2 linked regions of the Arabidopsis thaliana genome follow. The protein of the gene in region 1 interacts with the protein of each later gene in a pairwise test. Each region holds a gene or a part of one and is shown in the gene's direction. Other genes may lie near its edges.

Region 1 (9,348 bases):
AACAAAGGTGGATCCCTTTGTGAGGTAGATGAGAATATCTCATTCAAGGGCTTAGTTGAGAGTGTCATTGAAGATTTCAGATTTGATCCGGTGAGCGACGAAGTCGTCGGGTTTTTCGAAGGCAAAGCTGTTGGATTTGGAAGAAATGAGATTAGATATTGTGTATTTTCTATATTTTATTTTAATTAATTTTTAGAGGATTAAAATTTTTGTGTGCTATTTGTACAAGTTTTAAAAGAATGTGTCATTTTTGCAATAATAAACCTTTTTAGTGTCATTTATGTCAATCTCCTATATTTTAACACTTATAGCGAATTATAAATTTACAAATTGTTACAAATAAGTGAATTATTTTTATGGTGGATATAAATATAAATAGTAGATTATTTTTAAACTTGTAAAGTGATCAAAATACTAAATAGTAAAGAGACAAAAGAGGAGAAAAATGTTTTATTACTTCTCTTGTAATTGAAATAATGAATGTCATTTACAACGATCGAAATCGTTTATGTAGACGTAAAAAAGTTAATTACTATGCATACATAATGACAATGAATTCTACATAATTTGCGTAACATTTATTATATATATATATGTACATATATTTTTGACGTTGCGAGAAGTCACATTTATTAAATTTTGTAAAATAAATAATTTAATTTCAGTTTCCCTTATCAAATACTGTTCTCGTATTTAATAAAGTTTAAATAACTTTTTACAAACTGTTCAGACCTGGTGAATATAGTGTCTTCTCCAACCGAATGGACGACTTTCTCAGAGTATTTGGAGGAATTACGGAACAATAAGAAAGAATTCACAAGTTTTTCTTCATCTTTAATTTTTGGTAGTGTAAATATTATAGCGGATTCTTTGACAAGAAAAATCCGTATCGAACCGCATCATATTACCTATGTAAACAACATTTCTTAGGAATGACTCTTTTAAGCTAAATTATTAGCGGTCGACAACAAAAATAAAAGAAATTTAAATAACTTTATTATTTAAACTTTTACTTTACCCTTTAAAACCAAGTTAACATAATAATAAGTATGAAATTAGCATAAAACAATATCCCTAACAGAATTAGCAAAATCCAATCATTAAATGGACTATATATGGAAACCTGCCTCTACAGTTGTTCTTGAGATCAAAAACATCCTCTGTTGTCACCTCGATCTCTTATCAAGAGCTCAACAGATCATCCGCCCATGTCCATCTCTCCTTGTCACTTGGTTTGGCGTTTTTCAGTAGAAGATTCAGTTGGTTTCTCTTCTGGACCTGGAGCCTTGTTTCGGTTTTTGGCATTTTGCCATCTATTTGGACATGCGGCCTAATTTCGGTTTTTATTGTGTATTTGGGCCTGTAACTTTATTTAAACGTTTTGTCATGTATATTGATTTAATATTATTGGAAATTTAAAATTAAATAAAAAAATGGACTATATACTTAAATAAAAAAAAAAAATTCTTTTTTATTTTTACTGTAAATCCTGAACAAAAAAAAAGAAAAGTAAATCTGCAATAAATGGCTCAGTTAACAATTTTGACTCAGTTAGAGATCCTCTCTCTCCCGTATCTATTACAGAACCTGTTAAACTGAGAGACTGTTTAAAGAAGATTTACATAAATCTAAACTCCACGTGGCACGTATCTATCCGAATCAGTATTAATCCCATCGAAGAAGAAAACAATTCTTCATACAAAAAAAACTCTCTTCTCAAGTCTCTCCTTCTTCTCCGTCCTTCCCAATTCTTCCGTTCAAACAAATTTCTCCAAACCCAAACCCTAATTTCCTCCGTCTGTGAAATCAAGGGTTTTCTCTGATCTGGGTTTTGATCAGAAATCAGATCTAGGTTTAATTTTCGAAATCAAATTATGAGGAAGAGAGAAAGAGAGAACCCTTGTTCGATTTGTGGGCATTACCATAAGTACGAGGAAGGAGAAGTATGTGGAGTCTGTGGTCACTGTATGCCTGTTTCTTCCGATACGGTGGCGCCGCAACAAGTCCACGTCAGTGCTTTTCCGTCGGAGATTCTCCCTGAGTTTCTTTACCTCGGTAGTTACGACAACGCTTCTCGCTCTGAGCTTCTTAAGACTCAAGGAATCTCTCGTGTTCTTAATGTGAGTTTCTTTGCTTTGATTTTGAATTCATGAATTGCTTTTGTTTTAAACATTGATGATGACCCTTAAGAAAAAGATAAGATCTTTGAATCTTTGAATCGGTTTGTTTAGTTAGGGTTTTGCCTTGTAGATGAATCTTTCTTATACTTATACGTTTTGTTGACTTATGGTTTCTGTTAAAGTTCCTGTTATGGTAATAGAGAGGAATGTGTTGTTTACTATTTGTTGGTATTGACTCTGTTTTTGTTACTCTGTTTCAGACGGTTCCTATGTGCCAGAATCTCTACAGGAATTCATTCACTTATCATGGTCTTGATAATGAAAAAGTTTTACAGTTTGATGATGCTATTAAGTTCTTAGGTATGTTGATTCTATCTCAAGTTTCTAGATTTCATCTTTATGATTTTTTCTTGACGGTCTTGCTTTGTGTAGACCAATGTGAGAAGGACAAGGCACGTGTTCTTGTGCATTGCATGTCTGGGAAAAGTAGGTGAGTACATTTATCATTCTCTTACTCTCATCCTAAACTTGCGGCTGCTTTCTTATGATTACCATTAATTATTTAGACTAATAGAGTGATATGTTTTGTGTTTCGATTACATGACAGATCACCAGCGGTTGTTGTAGCGTACTTGATGAAACGAAAAGGGTGGAGACTCGCTGAGAGTCATCAGTGGGTTAAACAACGGAGACCAAGCACTGACATAAGTCCAGGCAAGTACTTAGACTTTGGATTAGAAACTTACTTATTGTTCTTGAAACTGTTACTCATTGCTTTTTCTTTGTACACAGAGTTTTACCAACAACTGCAGGAGTTTGAGCAGGGGATATTCGGATCTGAGATGATGTCGGCGATGAATATTAATGATGCTCCAACGTTTGGGTTTGGTTTCCCTAAGATTGATAATCAAGCACAAGCTCCTGTGTTCAACAATGCTCCTACTTCTTCTATATTTTCATCTCCTGCTTCAAGTATCCCTCCTCAGGAGTTCACTTTTGGAGCAACTCCACCAAAGCCAACAACTGGTGGTGATATTGCAATGGATGGCTCTTAGAACCAGATAATCATATACTCTTGCAAGAATTTTCATCAACAAATATACTGTTGTGAGAATGTTTCTTTTTCTTTTTTGTACATGGAGATTGGTGCATTGCTTGAGAGAGTTTGGGGTTTGAGAACATGAGATTGGAAGCATCTTTGTCTGGTTTATTCCTCACTCTCCCACAATTCTGTATCGATCTTTACAGCGAAATATACTATTAAACCAGTTATGACAAGCCACACTAGTAGGATCTTATCTGTTTCTGCAAAGCAGATAAGCTTAGACATTCAATACTTTCACTTTATCCTTTTATGCTTTCGAAAGCCCTTTTTGACTGTTTGTCTTAGACTGCAAACCAAATAAGCTGAGACATTCTAATCTACATGGATCATTTCGCCTTTAACTGTAATTTACCATATGTTAGAACTCTTATGAAAAAAATTCAACCTTAGATTATAGCAAGTATCTCAGCGTACTCTAGTATCAAACAAAGGCATGTGACTCACGATAGTTTTTAACGCCTGGCATAACTAAGAATAGTCGAAGCTGCTAAAATGCTTGGCGTATATCGATGAGATTCCAAACCAGTGCAATGAATTGAGTTGCCCATTCTGCTTTCTGACGGATGCAAGAGCTGTATCAACTTCTCAGCACCAACAACTTGTCTTTCTCTCATCTTTTCATCCAAGAGTAGTCTCCTACAGTTTCAAACAACATCTCACGTCATCATCATGCCCATTTCTCAATTGCCAGATAACAAAATATAAAGTAAAAGTGGGTGAAAAGAAAAAGATATACTCTAGTATCGATGCGAGATTTGAAGGGTTACAAGCTTGAAACAAAGCTTCAGGAATGATTGGGGAGTCTAGGAGAATGTTTGGGAGAGAAATATAAGGTATCTTGGCTTTGTAACGGATTAATAGCTCTGTTAGAAAATGTGCTCGGTAAGCAACAAGGGAAGGTAGATGAGCAAGCTGCAACTCAACAGCAACTGTTCCTGAAGTGCATAATGCAGCCTGACTCGCCTGTTATTATGGAACACCGCAAAATGAGAGGAGTAAACAGATGAGACACTTAGAACGAGGTTTCAAAGACTTACGCCAAAGGCATCATATTTAAGCTGAGTGGATCCACTAGGGACTAGTATTGCTGGAACTGGCCACTCACTGAAGGATTCTCCAATGTAATGATCAACTTGATTATTGGATGCGACGTGGATAAGCGTTACTAGTTTTGGAAACGGATCTTTGAGTAGCTTCATTGCTTTGGAAAATATGGGTAGCATTCTTTCAACTTCTTGTAATCTGCTCCCCGGTAGAACCGAAATGACAGTGGAGTCTTGTTTCATGAAAAGTTATGCAATGCAGCAGAAGAACAATGAGATATCAATAAAAGTAGATATCCAATCTGTAGAAAAGTTAAATCATTTTGATAAACTTCACATTACCAGAAGGTATTGAGTGTTCGCTAAAACTCAAGCCTTCAAGTTTCAGTTCCTGAGGCTTGCACCTTCTCACCTGTGGCAGAAAAGAGCACCATTTCACTTAGAATTCTGACAGAGTGTCATAGAAACTGAGGTAATTCAAGAAGAAGAAGAAGAAAACGCATACAAGGTCGAACTCAGAAGCATCCTCAAGAACAGGATGTCCAACAAACGTTGCTTCAACCCCATGCTCCCTACAAACCCTTTCCTCGTTCGGAAGAATGCAGAAAAGATGATCAACGAATTCAGACAGACCTCCAAGTCTTGACTCTCCTCCTTTCCAAGCCCAGAACGACGGTGCGACATAGTGAAAATGCACAGAACAATTTTCCAACCGCTGCTGCTTGTATCTAGCTGCAAAGCCAAAAAGCATTCCTCCATTGTCCTACATGATATATATGACTTCATTCAGGAATGTTTGGCTTCAAAAAGCCATTTCTAAGGTTCCTATTTCTCTACTTTTTCAACTTCTACTACAGAAAACAAAATCAAGGACATCATCCTAGAGATTAGTGTCAAATTACGCAAAAACATGTTCCTACTGGAGAAGAAGCTTCCATACATAAATCTTGGTACTATTCAAGAAAACTGTGCTTTTCGAAAACCACAATGAAGCTTTGAATTTAGTATGTCTTAGTCGTTAAGCGACACTGTTTAGCAAGCATTCTATTCACTAAAGCTCAATGATTCTCTCGTACAAGTTTGATGAAACAAGTTTTGTGTTGTTTACCTCGTAACTCCTTAAGTAAACGGAAAGAGAAGCCCTTTGAATCAACAGTCACAACAACATGTGGCTTAAACTTAACCGCAGCATCAATAGTCTCCTTCAACTTCACCTAGTATCTCAAAAACTAGACTAGTCAATCAAAAGAATCTAGAGTAGCTTTATATCAAACCATTCAAAAGGTTACTCACACGGAATTTATACAAATGTGGCAAAAGCTCCCATACACCCATTACAGCCAAATCCTCCATTGGAAACAACGAATTCAATCCTTTCTTGCACATCAAGGATCTATCAATTTGTAAGAAGCAAAGATACAAATGTTCCAACTTTATGAAATTTTCAATTGAGAATCAAAACTTTTCATAAGAAACTTCTAAATTGGGGGAAACCCAAGTGCTTACCCTCCAACTCCATTGAAACGGATGGGTAAAGGAGAGAGCTTTTTAAGCGAGGACATAAGACGAGAACCGATGTTATCGCCGGAAACTTCGCCGGAGACGATGAAAACTCTGAGCTCCCCATCGATTGCAGCCTTGTCAATCACCGATTTAGCAGCTTGAAATGATGAGTATCTCTTAGTGAATGTTGAGAGAGGGAAACGAAGTTTGCTCTTTGTAATCTGAAACATCATTTCGGAGAAGAGAGAGAATCAAAAACTCTGAAAGAGTGAAAGTGACGTTGTTAAACAATGAACTGCGATGAAAGCAAGATTTCTCATGGGGACTTTAATGGGCCTCTTAAGCCCACTTCTTATCAGCATGTTATTGAGGCCCATCAGTCATAGTGATACTTGTTTAGGAGACAGTGATAGTTATAGACTTACAGTGAGTGATTGTAGATGTTGAATGGCCTATGTTTATTGTTTTTGGATCTAAAACTTATCAAGTAAGAGTTTTTTTCTTCTGTTAAATTAGTACTCCATCTGTTCTTTTTTGTTTGATTGTTTAGAAAAAAAAATTGTTTAAAAAAGATTATTTTTTAGGTTTTCAATGCAATAATTGTTAGTTATAATTGATAAATTGTAAACTTCGATACAAATTATTAAATATTATTGGTTTAGAGTTATTGAAAATTGTAAATCACGAAAAACAGTAAATTTAAAAGCAACATTTCATATGTTTTCTTAATATTTGTGTTTTTCCTAAAGGATCAAACAAAAAGGAACAGATTGAGTATTACTTAGGATAAGTTTGGGGTTTATAGCAAAAAGTTTGATATTTGGGGCTTATAGCAAAAAGTTGGACTGACAATTATAAAAATAGTAACCAAGACTATCAAAATATTTGATAAATTTAGCTTATCTTTTTATTAACCTTTAGGATTCTGATTTTCTTAAACTAACTTTTTTTTAAGGTTGGTCATATGGATAAAAAAGATTAAACTGTTCAATTTTGGGTTGTCTGAAATCTATATAAAAGAAAAGCTACAAACACAAAAGCTTATTATTCCAAAAACTCTTTAAATTTATTTTCTCTTTAAGGGAAAAATAGATAATTGACTTATTCATCACACCATTTCTGCTTTTAGATATTTGTGAAATCCTCTCTATGTTTCTTAATCGTCTCATTTAATCCCGGCGATAGTAAATATTGTAATAAAAGAGATACACTTCCAATCATACTTTGGAGGAATGACATGGTCTCATAATTAAGTCATGTTGTTGGATGTTTCGTGTTTTTCGTCCTAATTTATTTGTTATGTTTCTTGTTGTGGGCTTTAGTTTAAAGAGCTATGTTCATGTACTTCAGTTCTCATTTTGGCTATAAAACATATACTTCATGATCACTAAAAATGCAAAAAGGGTGAACTTATATCACATCACATCAAATTCTTGCATTTAACAACGTTAAGGCGATGGAATTTGATAAAACTATGAAAATGTTACTTACATCAAACTTTAAAAGCAAAAATATCATTTATTTTTCCAAAGTTAATCTTAATATTTTGATGGAGATAGGATTAAATCTAAGGTCCTTCAGAATATTTGGCGGATTTTAAGAGCAATAGAGAAGAATTCTCCACTTTTTTTTTATTATTAATTTCTCGCAGATGTAAAAGCGGATAATTTGGCACGAAAACTCCGTATCGAACCACATCATATCACATTTATAAACAACATACTCCACAAATAGCTCGTTTGAGTTGTTGTTTTTTTAGTAAATCGGTTGACAAAAAAAAAAAGAGGATTAAATCTAAGGTCCTTCATGTAATCAAGATCCTAATTTCAGAAAGTTTAACTATTTTGAGACCATATCGTTTAAAACCCAAAACATTATTCCAACTTGAATTGATGATGAGATAAGATATGTAGACCCTACTCAACTAAATATATCATTTAGTCTCTCGACAGATAATTCCTTTCATAAACTGAAACCTAACTGAAGAATTAATACACAAATATTTCCCTTTTTAGTCATATCCCTAATCATATAACTACAAAAATTTAGAGAGTACACACATAGCAAAGTCAATCCAACGGTAAAAGAGAGCAGTATTGATGGAGCGGCAAACGACCAAACAACAAATCGTGCTGAAAATAATAATGTCTCACCAGAATTTTTCAGCATTAATTGAAACACACAACAAACCTCTCCTTATTCAATGAAACCACATTTCAAACACTCATGTTTTCTTATAAAGAGAGGCCTCTATTCTTTTATACAGCTCATGGAATCACACTATCACAATCATAACCACAAAAACAAACACTATGGGACACCTCAAAAGTCTCTTCACAATTCTTTTCCTAATAGCTATGTCTTCAACCGTAACATTTGCCGGTAAAATACCCGCGATCATCGTGTTTGGCGACTCTTCCGTTGATGCCGGGAACAACAACTATATCCCAACTGTTGCTAGAAGCAACTTTGAGCCATATGGACGGGACTTTGTTGGTGGAAAGCCGACCGGACGGTTTTGTAACGGAAAGATTGCGACGGATTTTATGTCCGAAGCCTTAGGGCTTAAACCAATCATTCCGGCGTACTTGGATCCTTCTTATAACATTTCGGATTTTGCAACAGGTGTTACCTTTGCTTCTGCTGCCACTGGCTATGACAACGCCACTTCTGATGTTCTGGTACGGACTTTTCTCTCCCTTGTATTTATTACATTGATATGTTACATAACTACACGTCTTTATAGACATTTATGATTGATGAGATATATAGTATAACTATCATAGTTGTCTTGGTTATATAATGTAACAAATCTTTGTACTACATGTTGTTTTGTTGGCAAATGTTGTTTTGGGATATTATCCTACATGTAGTAATTATATTCCACTGATTGCGATTGTAGTCGGTACTACCTCTATGGAAACAACTCGAATACTACAAAGAATACCAAACAAAACTTAAAGCATACCAAGGAAAAGACAGAGGCACAGAGACTATAGAAAGCTCTCTCTACCTCATAAGCATAGGGACCAACGATTTCCTCGAGAATTACTTTGCCTTTCCGGGCCGTTCTTCGCAATATTCCGTCAGTCTTTACCAAGATTTTCTAGCCGGAATCGCGAAAGAATTTGTGAAGAAGTTGCATGGACTTGGTGCTAGAAAGATCTCACTAGGTGGGTTACCTCCAATGGGATGCATGCCTTTAGAGAGAGCCACCAACATTGGCACTGGAGGTGAGTGCGTAGGACGGTACAACGACATAGCCGTCCAGTTCAACAGCAAGCTTGATAAGATGGTTGAGAAGCTGAGCAAAGAGCTCCCTGGTTCCAACCTCGTTTTCTCAAATCCCTATGAGCCATTTATGCGGATCATCAAGAACCCTTCCTCCTTTGGTATGCTATAGCTATTAACAATTCCATCATAAATAACTTCATTATATTATCTCTAATTTGTATATATATAACTATATGTATTAATGTTTGATTGGTGAAAAATATGAAGGGTTCGAGGTGGTGGGAGCGGCATGTTGCGCGACAGGGATGTTCGAGATGGGATATGGTTGTCAAAGGAATAACCC
Region 2 (9,257 bases), on another chromosome or scaffold:
GTGAATGTCGGAACTGAGGATATCAAAGGGATTGAATTTGTCCAGAAAGGTTACTGGATTAATATTATCTCCACTCATGAGGTGGACGCTAGAATCGCTCATCCTGATGGATCGCCTACTAGTTTGAAAATCAAGGTATTCTTTGTCAGGTGGATTCTCCATGAGTTTTGGCTATTTAGAGTTAACATCTATCAAAACTAATGGTTTTCTTCGTTTGTGGTAACTACAGAAAGGTTCACAGAAAATATGCATTGAGTCACCTGGAGGGCATGAGCTTCAGCTTTCTGACTCATGCATGTCCTTTGGGAGCAATTCAATAAAGATAGATGTCTCAAATCCACAGGTTTTATTTTGTAATCTTCTCTCTTTTGTTTCAGCATTCTTTGGCTTGTCCTTCATTTAGCATCTCTATGCGTTTCTTTCTGCAGCCTATTCATCTGAAAGCAGAGAAGTACCTCCTCAAAGGTCTGATAAATGTGGAGTCTAGTTCAACTATTGAGTCGGAATTGCAAGAGAATTTCATTGTTGACATTCAAGACAAGAAAGGGAATGTTATCAACACTATTGCTGCCAAACTTGCATCTGATGGAAGTGGCGTTTATGAGTACTACACCTGGGCTAGTCTTGGTGAAAAGATTAGCTTTGTTCCTCAAGATTCTAGGTATGACCTGCTTTTATGATTTCAGGGGAGCTTGAAATAGACTTCTAATGTTTAGAGTTCGGTTTCTTAGGAATGTATCATAACTCATAGAAGAGAAATTCGTATTTCAAAATCAAACACCAAAAGAATATTATTGGAGCTATTATTCTTTTTCAAGTTACTCAGCAATATCTATGTTCTGTTTCAGGGGTAATGTAGAGAAGAAGATGTTGTTTTACCCTAAAGAGATTCATGTAAGTATTAACTAGAAGTATTGCTAGCCACAAAAGATTCTAGAATGGAATATCAAGCTTAATTTATGTTTATTTTAATAGGCTGTAGTGTCAAAAGATGGATGTCAAGCTTCTGTTTCTCCATTTACTGGTCGGCTTGGTCTTTACATACAAGGATCAGTCTCTCCTCCTCTTCCTGGTGTTAATATTAAGATTTTTGCGGCAAAGGACAGCCTTATTTCTTCACTTAAGAAAGGGGAAATAGCTATTGAAACAAGCACTTTATCAGCTGGTTCATTTGTTGCTGGGCCTTTGTATGACGATATACCATATGCCACTGAAGCTTCAAAGGTTGGTGTATATTATACTGATATATTTTTCATGTGCATGTAAATTGACCTTGAGATGATGTTTTTCTTCGCTTTTCTAATCGTAGGTTAAATCTCATGCATTTGGCTACACTAAAATTCTCACTTACATTCAATTGTTTTGAAATAATGTGTTCCTAATCTGGCTTGCACATGCAGCCTGGCTACCATATTAAAAGGTTAGGACCATATTCCTTCTCCTGCCAGAAGCTTGGTCAGATCTCTGTGCGTGTAAACTCAAAGGACAATGCTGAGACATCAATACCTCCACTGTTGTTATCATTAAGTGGCGATCATGGTTACAGAAATAATTCCATATCTGGCGCTGGTGGACTCTTTGTGTTTGATAGCTTATTCCCTGGAAATTTCTACTTGCGTCCCCTTCTTAAGGTAATTAATCCATACGCCCTTGCATTCTTAGCAAAGCTTGACTGACTGTGATCTTAAATAGAAATGCCAATAGCTTTCATTGGGAACATTCTTCGAAGGCTTTCTCAAAACGTTAAAGTAGCCGAAAAGAAATTAAGGAAATTTTTTCTGATTATCTATCGTGTTTCTCAGGAATATTCTTTCAAACCTTCAACACTGGCTATAGAACTGAATTCTGGGGAATCCAGTGAAGCTGTCTTTGAGGCTACTCGTGTTGCCTACAGGTTTTGATCTATTTCTAAATCATCCTTTTTCTCACTATTCGTTCCTGATTTTACTTTTGTCAAAATAAGCTGTTACCTTGATTAGATTTTGGAAGAAATTGCTTTCTACTCCTAAAATTGCTTATTTAAGTATGATTACACCAAGGTTTCAGTTCTCCTGAAATAAAATTAGACCAAAACACTGTTTTTGAAACTTGTACCAATTCAAAATGACCAGTTACATACTACATTGGTCACTTTAAGTTTCAATTGCAATCTCATAGATTTCCACTATTAGCACATTTTGATTTTTGTCCACATATGTGTGGGCTTAGATTACATTCTTTATTTCTGTAACATTATATCTTGTCAATTCCTGTGCAGTGCAATGGGTAGAGTCGCTCTTCTATCGGGCCAGCCACAAGAAGGTGTTGCAATTGAAGCTCGCTCTGACTCCAAAGGATACTATGAGGAGACTACAAGCGATATTAATGGAAATTATCGACTGAGAGGGTTACATCCAGATACAGCATATGTAATTAAAGTGTCGAAGAAAATTGGTTCAGCCAACAATCAAATTGAACGTGCATCTCCAGAGTCGGTTTCTCTTCAGGTTTGTTTCTGTTTGTCCATATAATGTTCATTCTCATCATCCGCAATTTCAACAGAGTTTACCTGACCATTGTATTGTCTTATAGATTGGTTATGAAGATATCAATGGGCTCGACTTTTTGGTATTTGAACAACCAGAAACGACCATATTGACATGCCATGTCGAAGGAAAACAAAACGAAGATCTAAACTCGAATCTGCTAGTGGAGATCAAATCAGCCATTGATAAATCTAAGATAGAGAATGTCTTTCCACTACCACTCTCCAACTTCTTCCAAGTAAAAGGCTTACCCAAAGGTAAGCACCTTGTGCAGCTTAAATCCAGTCGTCCTTTGATCTCCCACAAAGTAGAATCAGAGATTATTGAAGTTGATTTCGAGACCAATGCCCAAATCCATATTGGTCCACTTCGATACAGCATTGTGGCAGATCATCAGAGTCAGGTAAATAGATAACTTACATAATCTTCGACATTTTTTCCATTATTCTTGTTTGCTCATTGTGGTTTGATTTGTATCGACTTCAGGAAGTGACACCTGCAGCTATATTGCCACTGGTTATTGGAGTTTCGGCAATTGCTCTATTCCTCAGCATCCCCAGGTAATAATTTATTACCAAACTGTAACATTTGTAATTTGGAACATTTCCACAACTAGTAATCCACATGCTTATAAAAAAAAGGTTGAAAGACATCTACCAAGCCACGGTTGGAATTTCGTCTCCCGGGTTCACTACATCTGCCAAGAGAGAACCTCGAAAAGCTGTTGCTAGAAAGAAGACGTTCTGAAGAATTTATTCATCTTCGGTCTTCTTTTTTTTGTTTTTTGTTATATAGTATCGTTAGAGGGAATTTATTCAAAACATTGCAGAACTCAGAAACTCCTCTAATCCATTTTAAAGTTTAGAGAAACACTCTTAACGGTCAATTTAGTCTTCTTTTTTAAATGTGAATTGTGTTAGAATCTTTTTCTCCATGACTATTTCCAAAAACGCTGTTATCAGTTTTTACCATTACTTTTTAGATTTAATTTTTAATGATACAGTTGGTACAAAATTCAAATACATCTGAGAGAATTCCTATTTATTTTTTTCTATTAACTAAATTATCAACAAATCTCCACTTACACTACTATATATATATATATATGTTGTATCTTATTTAGTTACAACAAATATCATAACAGAAACAATTGTTAGATATCAAAAGGTTTCTCTTAGATTTTTTTATAGATGAAAATTTAAAACATTAATTTCAATTAAAAACTGTTAACAAATAAATCAAAGTATTAGTACTTAAAAAAAAATTATGTGAGAGCAAAATATTTAATCCTTATCTTTAACATTTTCTTTTTTATTTTGTATTTGGTATTTATTAAAGATAAAGATTATATATAGCTGATTTATTTATATATTTCATAATTTTACATAAATTAATTTTATACTTTTTTCAAAGTCATTAATTTTCAATCTCCAGTAGTTGAAAACTGATGATTAGATCATTAGATACATATTTTTTTTTTCTTAAGTATATAATATTGATGATATAGAACTCTCAACTGGGAACTATCTCGTTGCAAAAGAATGGAGAAAGACAAAAATAATCGTGAGACTATCATTACATCAAATGATATTTTAGAAGAGATCTTTCAATATCTTCCAAGCTAAGTTCAAGGCCGTGTCGAAACAATGGAGATTGATGATCGAATCAACCTATTTATCCCACAAACGTCTCGTTCGATGGGGATTACAAACCCCGAACACGAAACTTCTTGTTGTTCATCAACTGTCATCAAATTCTGACTCAACAACTTTGCTTTTGAAAACTTTTAAAAGAGATCATGACAATAACGGACAAATATGTCTTTCTTCTTCTAGTTCTTATACTTTTCCTGATAATCCAATCAACCAATCTCGACACGAAACTATCCAAGTCTTGGGGTCTTGCGACGGATTGGTCTTGGTTGGGACCTACGATTTTAAGTACCTTTACTTAATCAATCCAACGACGGGAGAGTGGATATTTGACAATTTTTCTAATATATGTATTTTTGTTCATTTGAAGGAGAATTTGTGACCATAAGGCCATTTTGCGTTGGATTTGGAAAAGACATTATTACAAAATCATACAAGGTGATTTTGATGTACTCAGAAAAAAATCATCCTCATGGATATTTTGATGGTTTCAATATCAAAGCTATATCTCTTGATAATGGAAAGCAACGAGACGCCGGTTGGTACGTTTTAGATGAGCACGAAATTTGCAATGAACAAACACCGGTTTACGCAAACGGATCACTCTTTTGGTGGACAACATTTACTTCTTGGAAATATCGAATATTTTCAGAATTACCTTCACAGATATTAGCTTGTGATCTACACACACAAAATTTTCGATGGGTATCAATACCGGAATGTTACACCCGTTACACTCGTGGAGTGCAAATGTGGAGCCTAAATGAGCGTTTGTGCTTATCAGATGTGCTACACAGACAATGTTCAGAATTAGACGTTTGGAGTTTACAAGATTCTACTCAAAAATGGGAGCATTTGTTTTCTTTTAATATTCTTAATATCGATCGATTAGATGCAAAATGTTGGATGCTTGGTCTAAGGGCTGCTCACTTTCGAAGGATTGGAGAGGACCAAAATCAAGTTTCGTTTGATAGTATAAGAACGGTGATTTGGTATTCGCCGACTATGATTTCTCCATCAAATTTGTTGGTTTGATGTTGTTTCAACCTTCTATGATTAAATAAATCTCAAAAGCTTTTGAGTTTTTAACTTCACAAGTACAAGTAGAAAGAAAAGCTCTTGACTTAAAGAGGAAGAGAAAAAAAAATGTTTTGTATTTAAAGAAGGTACAGTATAGTGGAATGACTTGAAGTATTGGGCTGCACATGATCCAACGCTGAGGATTTTACAATTATAATTCAAAAGCATATATCTTGGTCATACCGGTTAACTACTGAAGCGGTCAAAAATAAAACACACGAAAACGTATCTTGTCCAAACGACACGCAGATTAATTACTGTTTAAACACATTAAGCCACGTACAATAGCCGGTCACCAATTCAAGGCATTTATTTAGCAGGCATCCATGTTTCATTCCTCACTCTCTCTCTTTTTCTCTAACCATAAAATCTCTTTGATCTCTTTCTCTGTGTTTTGATAATGGAAAATGTTGGTGTTGGGATGCCGTTTTACGATTTAGGGCAAACAAGGGTTTACCCACTCTTGTCTGATTTCCACGATTTATCGGCGGAGAGGTATCCGGTAGGGTTCATGGATTTACTGGGTGTTCATCGTCATACACCCACCCATACGCCGTTGATGCATTTTCCGACCACACCTAACTCGTCCTCGAGCGAAGCTGTGAATGGAGATGACGAAGAAGAAGAAGATGGAGAAGAACAGCAGCATAAGACAAAGAAGCGGTGAGTTTGAGCTTTTGTTTTCGTTTTGCAAACCAAATTGTAGCAACTATATATGCTTGCTGAAAATTGGGATTATATAGGTTTAAATTCACTAAAATGAGTAGAAAGCAGACGAAGAAGAAGGTGCCAAAAGTGTCATTCATCACGAGGAGTGAGGTTCTTCATCTAGATGATGGTTATAAGTGGAGAAAATACGGTCAAAAACCTGTCAAAGACAGCCCTTTTCCAAGGTAATTAACACTCATATATTTCCTTTGGGATAGATTAAAAAAATTATGAGGTTTACAAATTTTTAAGGGGTTGTGTTTTTTTCCCTTTGCAAGAAATTATTACCGTTGCACAACAACTTGGTGTGACGTGAAGAAGAGAGTAGAGAGATCATTCAGTGATCCAAGCAGTGTAATCACCACTTACGAAGGTCAACATACTCATCCTCGTCCACTACTCATCATGCCCAAAGAAGGCAGCTCTCCATCCAATGGCTCAGCTTCTAGGGCCCACATTGGCCTCCCTACACTCCCTCCTCAGCTTTTAGATTACAACAACCAACAACAACAAGCGCCGTCTTCTTTTGGAACCGAGTACATTAACAGGCAAGAAAAAGGAATTAATCATGATGATGATGACGATCATGTTGTGAAGAAGAGTCGAACTCGGGATCTGCTGGATGGAGCTGGTTTAGTCAAAGATCATGGCCTTCTTCAGGATGTTGTTCCCTCTCATATCATTAAGGAAGAGTATTAGTTAATCGCATAATTATGTAGCTAGCTAGCTAGGTTTATTTTTTCTAATTGTCAGGATCCTTACCTCTCATATCATTAAGGGTGATGATGTTCAAGATGACACATGTATTTGATTTTTGATGGGTATTTTTTCTAACGAGAGGAATCATACTTGTTTAATTGAGATATACTATTCCTTTATTTTATAGTAACCCGTTTGATGATCTAGGATGAAAACACTAATTAATCTTATTGAACCGTTTGATATATCCAAACTCGAACAATGTACAATATTTTGAGAGCAATGATACGTTCTAGCTAGGGTTTAATGTTTTTTTCTCCATATGGAGCCAAAGTCGGTAAACCTTATTAATTTCTGATTGATTGTCCCTTCAACAGAGAAGCATAATTAGGTGGATTCAAAAGGGTATATTGATGTGGAAAAAGCCAAACTAATGTTATGTTACATAATGTATGCATGGATCGAAAAGGATATGGGATGGATCAGTATATATTTAATTAAGGAAAAAGATAACTTGAGCTTATATATATGATAATTGTAAAAAAGATATTCACCACTTGTATTTCATGATTACCCTGCAGCGTTGAAAATATATAATACACTGTCAAGTGTCAATGTCGCTTGCTATTTTAAACTTTTAACGTTTTCTTTTTGGTTTTTATTTTATTCTTGTGGTTTCCTCTAAAGCCCAAAAACGAAAATGAAGGAGTAAAACAAATTCAAATTCTAACCTAACCTCTAATAAATGATTTTTACTTTTATGAAAAACAATGACGTGTGGACTATTATTGTCTATTATGATACTCTCATGTATGTTTGTTAATTAACATTTGAGATTCGTTCCGTCTTCAAGCTGTTTGGAAGCAGTATTAAACATAACGTTTGAATTGAGTCAAACATCTTGTATCTTTTTGGATTAGATTAAAAAAATAACAATAATTAGTGGTTAATAAAATTATTTTTGTCGTAATTAATGGTTAGAAGAGACAAAGGGTTAAAATTAAACCTAAGGTAAAAATAGTTATTAAATCGCTACATATCTTCTAAGATTGTAACTAATAAAATGCAATAATAAAAAAATCTCAAATAATTTGACCCCAAAAAAAAAAATATAAACTTACATGGATTTTATGTAAGCTGATAAATTGCAGGTTTAGGCTACCTTTTTAAATTATTAATTATATCAAGAAAGATTGTTTGGAAGTTGCAATTGGCAAAATTTGAAAATTTGTTGTCATACTCAATAAATAAATAAATAAATAAAATGTCATACTATTTCCGTCCTTGCCTCGCTCCACCGATGAAAAACATCATCGCATCTTTCAATTGTCAATTCCATCATGAGATCATTAAGGAGAAAATCGGTTTCACGATATGGATGATTGGTGAATATTTCATTATCGATTTCAGAGATCGAAAATGGATTATCTGTTATCAAACGAAGCATTGGAGAACTGCCTTTCCCTAATGCTTCTAATGATGATCACCATATTCACACATGCCATTGGTATGAAGAGTGTCGTCGAAGGCTACTCATCGATGGAGATGCGAAACTCCGAACTCAAATAGCTATCGCCCTAACCAAACTAATCGATAAACAAAAAATCTTTCTTCATGATATTTCTTCAGGAAAACTCAGACAAGAACGAGCAGAAACTGTTAGGTTAATAGCGTCGTTGTAGTTGCTGCCTAAACATGAAACTTTGGGACGTGCGACTATTACTTTTTATAGCGGAGAAATCAGGAGATGCATGAAATCTATATGCCATCAAGATATAGAGCTTAACCAGTTATGTGTAAAAGCAAGTGGTGAAAATTAGGTTAGCTTGCTTTCTAAGAAATTGCAAGAACAAAGAGATATGTGTGACCAAGCGTTGTATCAGTTGGTAAAGCACCCTCAACTCAATCATCTAACTTTTTTGTTACTGAAATATATATAAAAAGCGGTTTAGATTCTTAAATTTTCGTGACTATATATATTTATACATAGAAAGCAATCTTTTTCGGGACCGCGAAGAACGATGGTCCAGCATAGGAGGCAGGCAATATATGAATGTGTTTTTGTAAGTCCATACTAGGGACGACGCCAATGTGTTATTTTAAAATTGTTTATCTTATATTGAATTTTGAACCTTTGCGATATTATTCGATTTCATTTTCTTTATGGTCACATAAGCGATTAATACTTTATTTACGCATCATGGGGTAAATCGATAAAGTTTACATATTATTCATTTGGGTTATTAATGTAATTTCACATGCTGTTGATTAGTAAGAGAAAGAAATATTGAAAAATTTGTAATAACAATTGAATAAAGCTAAAAGGAAACCTAAGCCCTTATTGCAAATCTGGAGGTGGCAAAAAGGGGAAGAAACCCTAAAACGATTGCCGTCCTACCCGAGGATTTAGTAAAAGAGAGATCATCCAACACCTTCCAGTGAGATCTCTAATTCAATTCAAGTCGGTATCGAAACAATGGAGATCGATGATCAAATCCACCTATTTCGTTAGAAAACATCTGGTTTGTCCTTTCCCATCAAACCCAAAAATTGTTGTTGGATCAAGGACTCATGATGACGAGAACTCGCTAAC

Evidence for each region.
Region 2: the proteins of IBR5 (region 1) and WRKY68 interact in binary tests that used the Arabidopsis thaliana proteins (3 or more experiments, as listed by UniProt).

The regions. Positions count from the first base shown.
Region 1 is NC_003071.7:1,586,664-1,596,011, forward strand, and holds IBR5 (indole-3-butyric acid response 5), read left to right. Parts: upstream 1-1,529; 5' UTR 1,530-1,874; coding exon 1,875-2,120; intron 2,121-2,380; coding exon 2,381-2,480; intron 2,481-2,552; coding exon 2,553-2,610; intron 2,611-2,727; coding exon 2,728-2,834; intron 2,835-2,912; coding exon 2,913-3,175; 3' UTR 3,176-3,503; downstream 3,504-9,348. Other genes in the region: LpxB (transferases, transferring glycosyl groups), read right to left, coding at 3,678-3,861, 3,962-4,188, 4,263-4,501, 4,611-4,680, 4,774-5,000, 5,377-5,482, 5,562-5,661, 5,775-6,004; AT2G04570 (GDSL-like Lipase/Acylhydrolase superfamily protein), read left to right, coding at 8,084-8,452, 8,674-9,163, 9,273-9,348. UniProt on the Arabidopsis thaliana protein: Required for the transduction of auxin and abscisic acid (ABA) signaling pathways. Dephosphorylates and inactivates the MAP kinase MPK12.
Region 2 is NC_003074.8:23,067,035-23,076,291, reverse strand, and holds WRKY68 (WRKY family transcription factor), read left to right. Parts: upstream 1-5,212; 5' UTR 5,213-5,657; coding exon 5,658-5,920; intron 5,921-6,000; coding exon 6,001-6,150; intron 6,151-6,243; coding exon 6,244-6,664; 3' UTR 6,665-6,803; downstream 6,804-9,257. Other genes in the region: AT3G62360 (Carbohydrate-binding-like fold), read left to right, coding at 1-135, 230-343, 429-661, 849-894, 976-1,224, 1,401-1,631, 1,803-1,894, 2,258-2,486 and 3 more; AT3G62350 (F-box/associated interaction domain protein), read left to right, coding at 4,526-5,212. UniProt on the Arabidopsis thaliana protein: Transcription factor. Interacts specifically with the W box (5'-(T)TGAC[CT]-3'), a frequently occurring elicitor-responsive cis-acting element.